Ovis aries: one gene and its partners. The protein of the gene in region 2 interacts with the protein of the main gene of each other region in a biochemical or structural test. Links are inferred from orthologs where the notes say so. Each region holds a gene or a part of one and is shown on either strand. Other genes may lie near its edges.

Region 1 (3,643 bases), on a different chromosome or scaffold from region 2:
GTCCAAGGTCTGCAGCCAACCCTGGACCTGCGGCCACACTGCAGGGCGCCTGGCAGCCACATCGCTCTCTACCCAGCACCCCAGTGTCTCCAGACACAGCCACATATTCTCGGGGGGTGAATGTGTCCCAGTGGGGACACACAGAGCTAGGCTGTTCTCCCAGGGTCTTCTAAATGCTGGCTACACTCCAGCAGTCACCTCCCCAAAGAGGCAGTGTTGGGGGCCCAGTTCTCCAACAGCTGGTGGGCCCCAGCCTCACTGGCTGTGCGACTGGGAGCCTTCTTGATGCCTCATCCTTCTCTCCTCCCAGACTCACGTGCTGCCCAGGTGCCCTGCACCGAGCCCCCCAGGCTCCACAGCTTTTCCTCTTGCCCTCCCCTTCCTCTGATGGGTCCTGGGTGCACCCACACACGCAGTTCTGACTCACACTTTGAACCGGCACAACCACAGCAGCCACTGGACAGTCCACTCCGCCCCGCGGCTCCCAGGCTCGCCTGGCAGCAGAGCTCTGGGATTAGCTGAGCCCGTCTCCTGCCTCCAGACCGGGCCTCACGCTGCCATGGCAACAGGACTGCTCTCTGCAGGGTCACCTGCACCCTGCTCACGTCCCCCAGCCCTGTGGCCGAGGGCCTCACACCTCGCCACATCTGGCTGGTCGGTGCCGTGTGGCGGCCATGCACGGGCTCCCCGCCACCTCCTCCTGGGCTCCAGAGCTGTCGCCTCGCCTCCACGACCTTCCAACCCTGCACCCCCCAGGGCCCAGGCTTGGCTGTCCTTCCTGTCTACACTGCACCCCGGGGTGCTCTCCAGCCCACAAGCTCTAACTACCACCCACACGTGAGGAGCCCTGAACAAGCCTCTCCAGCACAGGCTCCCCCCAGCCCGCCCCTGCACCCCTGCTTCAGCTGGCGTCACCTCATCGCTCCCAGAGCCCAGGGTGGGGCAATCTAGACTCTCCTCTTCCACTCACAGACCAAACGCATCCTCTCAGTGAGCCAGGCAGCGCCATCGCCGAAACGTCACGGCTCTGGGCGCCCCCGGCCTAGCTCCCACCAGTGGCTCTCCTGGGATGACGCCGGCAGGCCTGGCCCTCCTGTCTGTCCAGAGCTGGGGTCGCCTTTCAGAACAAGGTCAGCGGGGCCGCTCCTGTGAACCTCCCCAGTGGCTGTGTTCCCCTGGAGCGAGTGCCAGGCCCCCAGGCTCGCCCCTCGGTCTCTGAGCCGAATGACCGCCACGCTCCCAGCAGGCAGGCTGCCCCAAGGCCCTTGCGCGGCCTGCACCCTCTGGAGCAGGCTGCTCCTGGTGTCCACACAGCCCTGCCCCCAGTGCCCAGTCTGCACCATGCCACCTCCTCCATGAGGCCCTCACCCTTCTGGGCTCCCTTCCGCTGTATCACTGCTGCTCAGCCCCCAGAGCCTGGCCCTGGCCTGGGGCCGACAGCACCGCCTCCTGCTCGGGAAGCCCCCTGTCCTAGCACTGACCGTAGGGCACCTGGGGTGCTGGTGCGGTCCTCCTGTCTACACGGCACTGGCCACACAGCTGCCACATCTCACAGGCGGGACCCACCTCCGGATGGGGTCAGAGAGCCCTTCTCCTTGGGCCGGCACCAGTCCTCAGGGGCCTTGGACACGGAGACCAGGAGCAGCCAAGACCCTCGTCCTACTCACTTCTTGCGCCTGCCAAGCCTGGGACAGCACTCAGCATAGCTGAGCAGAGCCACCCCAGCATCGCCCTGCCCAGGGTGTCACCACCGCTGCCCCATGCATGGCAGAGGGCCAGCCTCACCTCCCCTGCGGCAGCAGGATGTTGTTCACGCCGCCCAGTTTGACGTTGATTTTCAGACAGAGGTTGGACAGGGTCTGCGGCGTGGTCCTCTGCACGTTCTTCATCTGCACGCACTGCGTGGCCATGCCCAGCACCGTGTCTCCCACACGCTTGACCTCGGCTGCCGAGAGAACAGGGTGCTCAGCACGGCTTCCCGGCGCTCCTCTGCCCACCCCGTGCGCCTGACACACACACGGCCAAGCCTGGACCCAGCTCCGTGCCAGTTGCGGGGCGTCCCCCACCGGCTCAGGGAGGCCCGCTCTCAGTCAGGAGCGTTTCTGCAACTTCTCCAGGCCGACAGGGCAGTGTGCACAGGGCCAGGTTGGAAACCAGGCACTCGGGTCAGCAAGCAAACGCTTGAGTAGTCAAAAATATAAACCCCTGAATCCTTAGTCCCTGGCCAATACAAACCCGATGCCAAAGTGCTCTCCAGGCCTACACCCCCCTCCATTCTGGGTTCTCTTGTGAAGCGAGTGGGCAACTGCTCTCTGGACAGGCCAGCAGAGACGGGAGACCCTGGGAGAAGTCACCCGGGCTTCCTCCTGCTCCTGGATGCAAAGCCCATGGGAGACGGGGAAGCCAGTCAGCGAGCCAATCGCGCCTCTCTTCCCTCTTCCCCATGGTGCCCACACACCTCCCTGCACGGGGCCTCCGGTTCCCACCGGGCTTCCAGCAGACCCACATGCACCCACCTCCCCAACGCTTGCCTACACCCGGGAGCTTCCCCCACCAGGGCCTGGGACTCCATCCCAGGGCTTGGAAACTCTGAGCTAGGTAGAAGTGCAACCGGCCTTCTGGCAGAAAGGACTCTGATCAAATCCCAGAGGATTCTAAGATGGCACGGTTCACAAGAGGAGGGCCAAGTCCCAAATAGGAGCTGAGGACTGCCCCCGCCCCTCCGAGGGGATTACTGCGTGCATATCGTGTGACCATTCTTCATCCAGCCGAAGTCTGTGTCAGCAGCGGACAAGGTAACTGCACGCCTGCCGCATCCCGCACCCCCTCGGGACACCCATCCCAGGGAACCGGGGCCTCAGATGACACTGCCAAGGTGGCCCTGGGCACGTGCATGCCACAATCATACACCACCTGGTCTCACTCAGACACAGGCCCCTCCTGGGTGTGGCAGAGGCCGCACCGCACACCCGTAGGGCCAGGGCAGGGGCAGCACCAAGACCTACCGTAAACGGGGGTCTTCCCCGGCAGGATGACCACCACCAGCTGCAGGCCAGCGTACGTGTTCTTCAAGTGCCGGAACATGGGCTCCACGCTGTCCGCCCCCTGGGCATATTTACAGAAGCATGGCTGGCCCTGGATGGGCATGCCCGCATCTCTTGAGATCTTTCTGAGCTGCTCCGTGAAGGACCTGGAGGAGCAGGGTCGTTACATGAAGAACCCAGAGTGCCGACGATCCAGACCCACCAGAGGCCCCGAGAAAGGGCAGTGTTAACTGATCCAGACCCCAGGCCGTTTTCATTGAGCTGAGTCCCTGCTGAAGCCCGAGATGAGGTTGTTTCAACAAGACAATGTACAGAGGCTGCCCACGTGCTCAGCACACAGGTCCCTGAAAAGTCAGAATGTAACAGGAGACGCCATATCGTGGCCTCGCCGCCCCCACCAGCTGTGACCCTCCCAGGCAGCGACAGGGCTGTTCTTTTACAGTCGGGCACAAACAGCTGCTGCCCACTTGCCCGCAGACGCCGAGCACTGTCAGGGCAATGAGAGCCATGAACTGACTATCCCTTTGGATTCCCCCGGTTTATCCCATGCACACAGCTTGGACTCAGATGACATGGCCACGGGAGAAAACAAGACAGCC
Region 2 (3,643 bases):
ATGTTTTTTTGAGATTACATTAAAATTCAGAGCTTGAAGACCATCAAGCATTGACAAGGACAGTGAATTGGTGGTTGTTAATGGTAGGATGCTTTATTCTAGTTCTAATTTGAACATAGAATTGCCTAGAGAATTTTTTTTACCATCTTATGTGCAAAGTAAAGATGGAGAAAAAGCTGGCAGTGACATAGGTCTCATACAGAGACAAGCCCTGTTCATGAGGCTTCCTTTGGTAGCCGTCAGGACAGGCCCAGCCCAGACAGAGAACGGCCTCCTGGCCCTTCCTTCCTGGCCCCTCGTCACCAATTGCAAAGGGAAGTGTGAGGGTGTTTGTGTCGAGCACTTCAGCAGCTGAGTCTCGCCAGGCCTGGACGTAGACGTGGGTCCAGCATGAGTCACTCTCCTGTTTACATTCTTAAAACCTAGGAGGCCCCTGATCTCAAGAGTTTGAAATTCTCCGCTTTCTTACTTTTATATGGTGCTATGTAATTTTTTTTTTTTTTAACTTCATATCGGTTTAAAGCTGTTTGGTTAAAAAGAACTGAAATACGTTTAGAGGAAATTATTGGTCTTAAAAACAGGTCATTCCCCCTCCTTCCCACGCCAATCAAATATGCTCTGAGCCAGACTCTTTTTATCAAGTTCCTTGGGCATACAAACTGATTCATGCTTGCCTGCCCCGGCATCTAGCTGGGTGGGCATTCATCATTCAGCAGCTGCTTACTGAGCAGCCGTGCCCTGGCTGCCACATGGAATTCAAACATTAGCAAGATAGGTCTCTGCCTGGAGAGCATTCATGTGAGGGAAGGAAGAGGTGAGTGTGATACACGGAGCAAAACAGCTCCAGGAAGAGAAAGGCTGTTTTCAGGTGGCAAGCTTAAAAAAACTTCATAGAAGAAGTGGCACTTGCACTAGACCCAGAAAGATGGATAGATCTCAGCGTGTGAATTCCAAAGGAAAGAACAGTAGATGCCCGTGGGGAATGGAGCCAGGGTGAGAAGGTGCAGTTTGTAGAGTGTGGGCATCATCAGAGAAAGCAGAGAAAGGGGAAAATGGAAAAGTCAGTGGGTCCCAGGTTGTGGAGCATCTTGATCAGACCTCAGGACCAAGAGTTTAGCTTTATTCTTAATGCACTACAAAACTCTCCAGTGCTTTCCATAGAGCAGTGATATAATCAGAGGTGTTCTTTATTAATACTAGGGGTGTTTAGAGTGGGTTGTAGCTGTAAAGCAAGGATAGGCTATTAGCTGCATTGTCTCAGGATACGGGAAGTCCCTTCTCTGTCCCTGGAAGTAGCACGAGGATAGCTTTGAGAGGCTCTGGGGGTTAGAGTTAGCAAATACACCAGCCAGGCAAGACAGAAGAGAGCTCAGGCGTGACACAGTTAAGCAAGGCAGGCAGTGGGCAGAGAACTAGTTTGTGGGGAAGTGATAAGCTCACTTTTGGGGCGGTTTGAGCTCGAGGTGTTGAGATGATGCATGTGCCACTGTGATTAATGAGACCATCTCTTTCTCAGAGTCAACCCTTGGAGGTGCTGCTGCTTCAAATTATGCAAATTCCACTTGGGGCCCGGGAGCCTCCTCCAACAGCGGCGCCTCCCCCAACCCCATTCACATCTGGGACAAGGTGATTGTAGACGGGTCTGACATGGAAGAGTGGCCTTGCATTGCCAGCAAAGACACTGAGTCTTCTTCCGAAAACACCACCGATAACAACAGTGCCTCGAACCCTGGCTCTGAGAAGAGCACTCTGCCAGGAAGCACCACTAGTAACAAAGGAAAAGGGAGCCAGTGCCAGTCTGCAAGTTCCGGGAACGAATGTAATCTTGGGGTCTGGAAATCTGACCCTAAGGCTAAATCTGTTCAATCTTCCAATCCTACTACGGAGAGCAACAATGGACTAGGAAACTGGAGGAATGTGAGTGGTCAGGAGAGAATTGGACCTGGCTCTGGCTTCAGCAACTTTAACCCAAATAGCAACCCATCTGCCTGGCCAGCACTGGTCCAAGAAGGAAGTTCTAGGAAAGGGGCATTGGAAACGGAGACTAGTAATTCCAGTGCACAGGTTAGCGCAGTAGGTCAGGCATCCAGGGAACAGCAGTCAAAGATGGAAAATGCGGGTGTTAATTTTGTTGTCTCTGGCAGAGAGCAGGCTCAAATTCATAACACTGATGGACCAAAAAATGGAAACACTAACTCCTTGAACTCAAGTTCACCAAACCCCATGGAGAATAAGGGAATGCCCTTTGGGATGGGCTTGGGGAACGCCTCCAGGAGCACTGATGCCCCTTCACAAAGCACTGGAGATCGAAAGACTGGGAGTGTTGGATCTTGGGGTGCAGCTAGGGGGCCTTCTGGAACTGACACAGCCTCTGGACAAAGCAATTCTGGAAACAATGGGAACAATGGAAAGGAGAGAGAGGACTCCTGGAAGGGAGCTCCTGTTCAGAAATCAACCGGGTCAAAAAGTGACTCTTGGGACAACAATAACAGGTCTACGGGTGGGTCCTGGAACTTTGGCCCTCAGGACTCTAATGACAACAAATGGGGTGAAGGGAACAAAATGACATCCGGGGTCTCTCAGGGAGAATGGAAACAGCCGACTGGGTCTGACGAGTTGAAAATTGGAGAATGGAGTGGTCCAAACCAACCAAATTCTAGCACTGGAGCATGGGACAATCAGAAGGGCCACCCCCTCCCTGAAAACCAAGGCAATGCCCAGGCTCCCTGTTGGGGAAGATCTTCCAGCTCCACGGGAAGTGAAGTTGGAGGTCAAAGCACTGGAAGCAACCACAAAGCAGGAAGTAGTGACAGTCACAATTCTGGCCGTCGGTCGTACCGGCCCACACATCCTGATTGTCAGGCTGTCTTGCAGACTCTTTTGAGCCGAACTGATTTGGACCCCAGGGTGCTCTCAAACACTGGCTGGGGCCAAACTCAAATTAAGCAAGACACGGTGTGGGACATTGAAGAGGTGCCAAGGCCCGAGGGGAAGTCTGACAAAGGGACTGAGGGGTGGGAGAGCGCTGCCACACAGACCAAGAGCTCAGGGGGCTGGGGAGACGCGCCCAGCCAAAGCAATCAGATGAAGTCTGGATGGGGAGAGCTCTCAGCCTCTGCAGAGTGGAAAGACCCCAAGAACACAGGAGGCTGGAACGACTATAAGAACAACAACTCTTCCAACTGGGGAGGGGGACGACCGGACGAGAAGACATCTTCCTCTTGGAACGAGAACTCCAGCAAGGATCAGGGGTGGGGAGGTGGACGCCAGCCCAACCAAGGATGGACTTCTGGAAAGAATGGTTGGGGAGAGGAGGTTGATCAGGCGAAAACCAGCAATTGGGAAAATGCTGCAAGTAAACCTGTGTCCGGGTGGGGCGAAGGTGGGCAGAGTGAAATCGGGACTTGGGGTAGCGGTGGGAACGCAAGCCTGGCTTCCAAAGGCGGGTGGGAAGATTGCAAAAGGTCTCCGGCGTGGACGGAGACAGGCAGACAGCCCGGTTCCTGGAACAAACAGCACCAACAGCAGCAGCCACCGCAGCAGCTACCACCACCACAACCCGAGGCCTCTGGCTCCTGGGGAGGCCCAGCCCCACCACCTCCAGGCAACGGACGACCTTCCAATTCCAACTGGAGCAGCGGGC
Region 3 (4,395 bases), on a different chromosome or scaffold from region 2:
GCAAGGAGGGAGGGGCTCTGAAAAGGACACTCCCCCTCCCCCATCCCCAGCCAGCCCTGGGAAGGAAAAGTAACAGCCTAAAGGCCTGGCTCAGGGACCCCTTCCCTGCAGTTCTGAGGCCCACATACCTACCAATAGGCTAGACTGCCCATTCAAAACACAAACTCAAGACTAGGTTAGCTGTCCAGTAAGCAAAGAAGAGCCGCCCAATCTCTCCAAAAAGAATTTATCCACACACGAAGTACACACAAATTATTAGATATCCATACAATGTACTTAACCATTTATGCTCACAATGGAATGTGACTCAATTGAAAAAACAAAGATGTACTTGTGTCAAGGCCTAGCCATTAGTTGGTTCCACAGATAAATCAGACACCAACTCCACCCTCTAGGAGCTCCCAGTCCAGTACATGTGCTTGAAACACACCTAAGCACAGATGGCACATCTGGCCTTGAGCCCAGTGAAGCCAGAGACAACACACTGCTTTGTGTACTGTGTCCTCCAACCTCCAAGAAAACAGTCCTAGCCTAGGAAGGAGGCAGTTATGGGATCCCTCTACTCACAGCTTCCAGAATGAATTTCAATCACACCCGCTGATGAGGTAAAGGCTGCCCCATTAGGCTACAGCCAACTCCAGATACCAGGCTCTAGTTCCTTCCCTAGAAGCTTATTTATTGTAACAACAACCAAAAACAAAAAGTCAATTTTTTCATCACTCTCGAGACCACACGGAATTCATCAGAATAAAACCATAAGCAGTCTGGTATGGGTGCCAGCTCCCACCAATCCGTCTGGACTTCCGTGTCCTACTACTCTAGTCCCAGGGGTTGCTGCAAGTAGTCTCCAGCCCAGAAAACCAAGAGAGTTCATGGAAGGGAGAGAGGAGCCTAAGGGAAAAAGGAAGCATTAATAGTTTTCTGAAGTCAGTTGACCCCTGCATTCCACCTTAAGGCTTATACAGCCTTTACAAGGTTGTTTCCATCTTGGTGAAAGTAGTCGCTAAGTACTTAAAGATCACTGAATGAATGACTTGAATGAAGTGGCAGGAGTTATTTCCTTAAGAGTATAAGATCTGGTATAAAAGACAAAGATGCTTGCTTCAACCAGAAATGAAATCCATGTCCCAAATGAAATAAAATTCATGTCCCAAATAGAAATTCTATTCTCCCCTCCAGATCAAACGGAAGTAGTGAGACAGATCTAAAAGATTCCAGACTGCTCCTCCCACCAAAAAGATAAGACGCCTAGGACACAGGAGGTGCCACCACCCTCACCCCATCCAGGAACTCTGGCCTTCTCGGGACAGTCTTGCCTCAGTTTCCCCTCTAATCTCCTTTTCTCCTGATGGTGAATAAGAAGTTAAGGCTATCACCTGGGACACACTATGGTGAAGGCTATAAACTTCCCCCTATCCCATACAACTTATATATGACAAAAGGCTCGCCTGACAACGCTGGGTCTAATAACATGGCTCTGACAATTTCTGGGGGAGTAGAGAGAGCAAAAAGAAAAGATACCCAGTAGGGGAAAGCAACCATAAAAACATTAAGGCATAGAAAGATTAGGCTGTCAACTCAGGAAACATTCAATAGAGAGGTCATTATCCTTGGATTAAAAGATCCCAACTCTGCTCACCATTGAACCAGAAACATGCAAACCAGGCAAACAATCCCTTCTACGGAAACCAGGTCCTGGCCTTGGTCCCTCAGCAACCAATACATTCTCTAAGGCCTGTCTTCAAGGAGGACCTGTCCCTAACCTAAAACATTGCTCCCATCCGTCTTTCCTCATCCTAGTGGCGGAATAAGAAACTTGTCCATCTCCCTCAACCTAGTCTTGGCAAATTGAGACTGAAGGTTTCAGAGTCAAGCCTAAGACCCCCAAGATGGGGAAGGGACCCATTTCCATTTGTGTCCTGCCAGCATAACCTAAGAGAGACTACAAGCCATCAGCGCTCCCCTTTTACCAAGTCAACCTGGCGGGGCTAAGGGTAGGGGGGTTCGGGCGGCCACGCCCCCACCACATCGGGCAGCCCCTTCCAGCTGCCACCTACGCGCATGCTCCGGCGCCTCCACTCCAGCTCCCAGACTTAAGGGGGGGAATCCCAGGGCTGGATCCCCACCCACTGCCCCCTGACCCTCGCCCCCGCGTCAGGCCCGGCTGGGGCGGAGCTCACAGCCCAGCTCTGGCGCCTTCTCCCAAAAGACATCAACCCAGCCCAACCCATACCGGCTGAGCCCCCGCCCAGGGCATGCGGCAGCTCTGGGCCCATTTGTGTCGACCTCCCTCTCCTGGACACCTGGAGCCCGCCCCCTGCCACCTGCCGGGCCTCTCCCTAGGCCTCCTGGTACCTCCAGGAGTCCTCCTGTGCGTTCAGGCCCTTCTTCCAAAGCACTTCCTACCTCCACGAGTGCATACAGGCTCCTTTGATAAATGGCCCCCGTCTCAGAGCTTCCCTTCGCAAGGTTTCCCCCGGAACTGCACACAACCCCCTTCAAACTGGGCCCCCCATCTCAGAAGAGCCCCGTTCCCCACTCAGGAAACCCTTCCTCACTCCGAAACCCTGCTCTTCACGCGAGAGTCCCCTAGTCCTTGGAGCATGCACCGTCCCCGCTCCTGGGGGCCCTTACCTGCTCCCGAGGGTCCCGCTTCCATCCCATATACCCGTGCGGAGATCAGGCGGCCCGGAGACTGTGGAGTCCAGCGTGAGGGGCCTAGGTACCCCGCACGTTTGCTGCCTGGGCTCCCGGGCCGGGCTCGGCTGCCCCCCCAAGCCCGGCCGCTCGCGCCGCCGCCCCCGCAGCCTCCGTTGCCGCCGCCGCCGCGGAGCCTGCAGCAGCTCCCCCTGCGAGCGCCCGGCCAGCTGCCAGTGCGCAGGCGCGACCGCCAGGCCCAGGGGGCGGACGGGAACGAGTCAAACGGGGCGCTCCGACGGCAACAAAGGCCAATGGAGAGGGGCGGGGGCACCGGGGACCGGAGGCAGCGGCCCCTGGCGGTCACCCATCGCCATGCAGCCCGGCGGGAGGGCTCCGGTAAAGGCGCCGCGGAACCGCGCAGTGGCGTAAGTGGGGCGGGGCGGGAGGACAACACACCCCCAACCCCCACCCCGCAGCAGCCTCCGGCCTTGTCTTTTCCCCAAACACGTTCCTCCAAGCCTACACACAACCTCCCCCCATTCGCACAGGGCCACGCGCATATTGCCACCTCATTCCCAGGCCACCCTCACACACTCCGAGAGCCCCATCACCCAGGGGCCCTGCCTCCCACCTCTCCTCCCAATCACCCTCATCCTTCAAGCCTCGGCTGCAAAGCGACTGCCTCCGCGAAGCCTTTCTCCGTCCCTAGTCACTGAACTCACTGACGCCACCCTCTCTTCCAGGCCGAGTACTGGGCGCTGAGACCAGAGATATGAAAGAGACCCTGCCTACCCTGGAAGATGTCACCGTCTCAACTTAAGTGCATCTACTGAGCTCTACCTACGGGCTGGGAAGCACCTCTCCACTTTCTTACAGCCCACGCTTGAATTCAGTCAATCCACTTCTGACCTCACCACCTCACTTAAAACACTTTTTGTGTCAAAATTCAAAGGATAATTTTCAATTCTTATTTTGCTGCAGCATCTGACACTGTGCCTCTCCTTCCTTTTTGAGTCTTTTATTTGGCTTCAGCATTTTCTGAGGTCTCCTATTGCCTAAGTCCTTTTCGGTTTTCTTCAAGAGCCCCCCCTCTTGTTTTTGATCCATTAAAAAAAGTGTTCACCTTGTTTTCAAACCTAGCTGTCTTCTCATTCTAATCTCCACTTTTTTGCTTCAAGGTCTCATCCATTCTTATGGCTTAACTATCCTTCCAAATCTCTATTTCCAACCATGTCTCAGACTCATATTTCCAAGTGTCTGCTGGACAGCTCCACCTGGATCTACCAGCACTTCAAATTTTAAGAGTTCAAAACCAAACTCTTATCTTTGCTCCCACAAAAGTGCTTGCCCTATACCTCCTGTCTCTACAAAGGGCACCTTCATCCCAGAAATGACCGCTTCTCTCTCTCCCTTGCTTCTAACCCTATACAGCAGTTCACAAAGTCCTGACCTGTTTACCTGCTCATATGGTCTCCTGACATGCTTGTGAAGGCTCCCTGTGCTGATGCAGGCCCTTATCATATCTTGACAAAAGTATCACAGTCACCTCCTTGTTAGTCTCAGTTTCTAGGAACATTTCTCCTATTCACTCTGCATCAACTGATAGGTGCTGAGAGACCCAGCTCAAACATCACTTTTCCATATATTCATTCATATATATTAATCCATCTGTATTTTTGATGCCTACTTTACACCAGATGCTAGGAACTCAAGAGAAGCCATACCCAGTCGCTACCCACTAGAAAGATTAATTTC

Evidence for each region.
Region 1: the proteins of TNRC6B (region 2) and AGO2 form a complex in vitro, tested with the Homo sapiens proteins (3 studies listed by BioGRID and IntAct, with this or other methods). The link is inferred for Ovis aries from reciprocal best matches to the Homo sapiens genes TNRC6B and AGO2.
Region 3: the proteins of TNRC6B (region 2) and protein argonaute-1 form a complex in vitro, tested with the Homo sapiens proteins (2 studies listed by BioGRID and IntAct). The link is inferred for Ovis aries from reciprocal best matches to the Homo sapiens genes TNRC6B and AGO1.

Annotation. Positions count from the first base shown.
Region 1 is NC_056062.1:16,050,949-16,054,591, reverse strand, and holds part of AGO2 (protein argonaute-2), read right to left. Parts: intron 3,191-3,643; coding exon 3,006-3,190; intron 1,946-3,005; coding exon 1,786-1,945; intron 1-1,785.
Region 2 is NC_056056.1:217,420,814-217,424,456, forward strand, and holds part of TNRC6B (trinucleotide repeat-containing gene 6B protein), read left to right. Parts: intron 1-1,516; coding exon 1,517-3,643.
Region 3 is NC_056054.1:10,821,604-10,825,998, reverse strand, and holds the start of protein argonaute-1, read right to left. Parts: upstream 2,870-4,395; 5' UTR 2,660-2,869; coding exon 2,635-2,659; intron 1-2,634.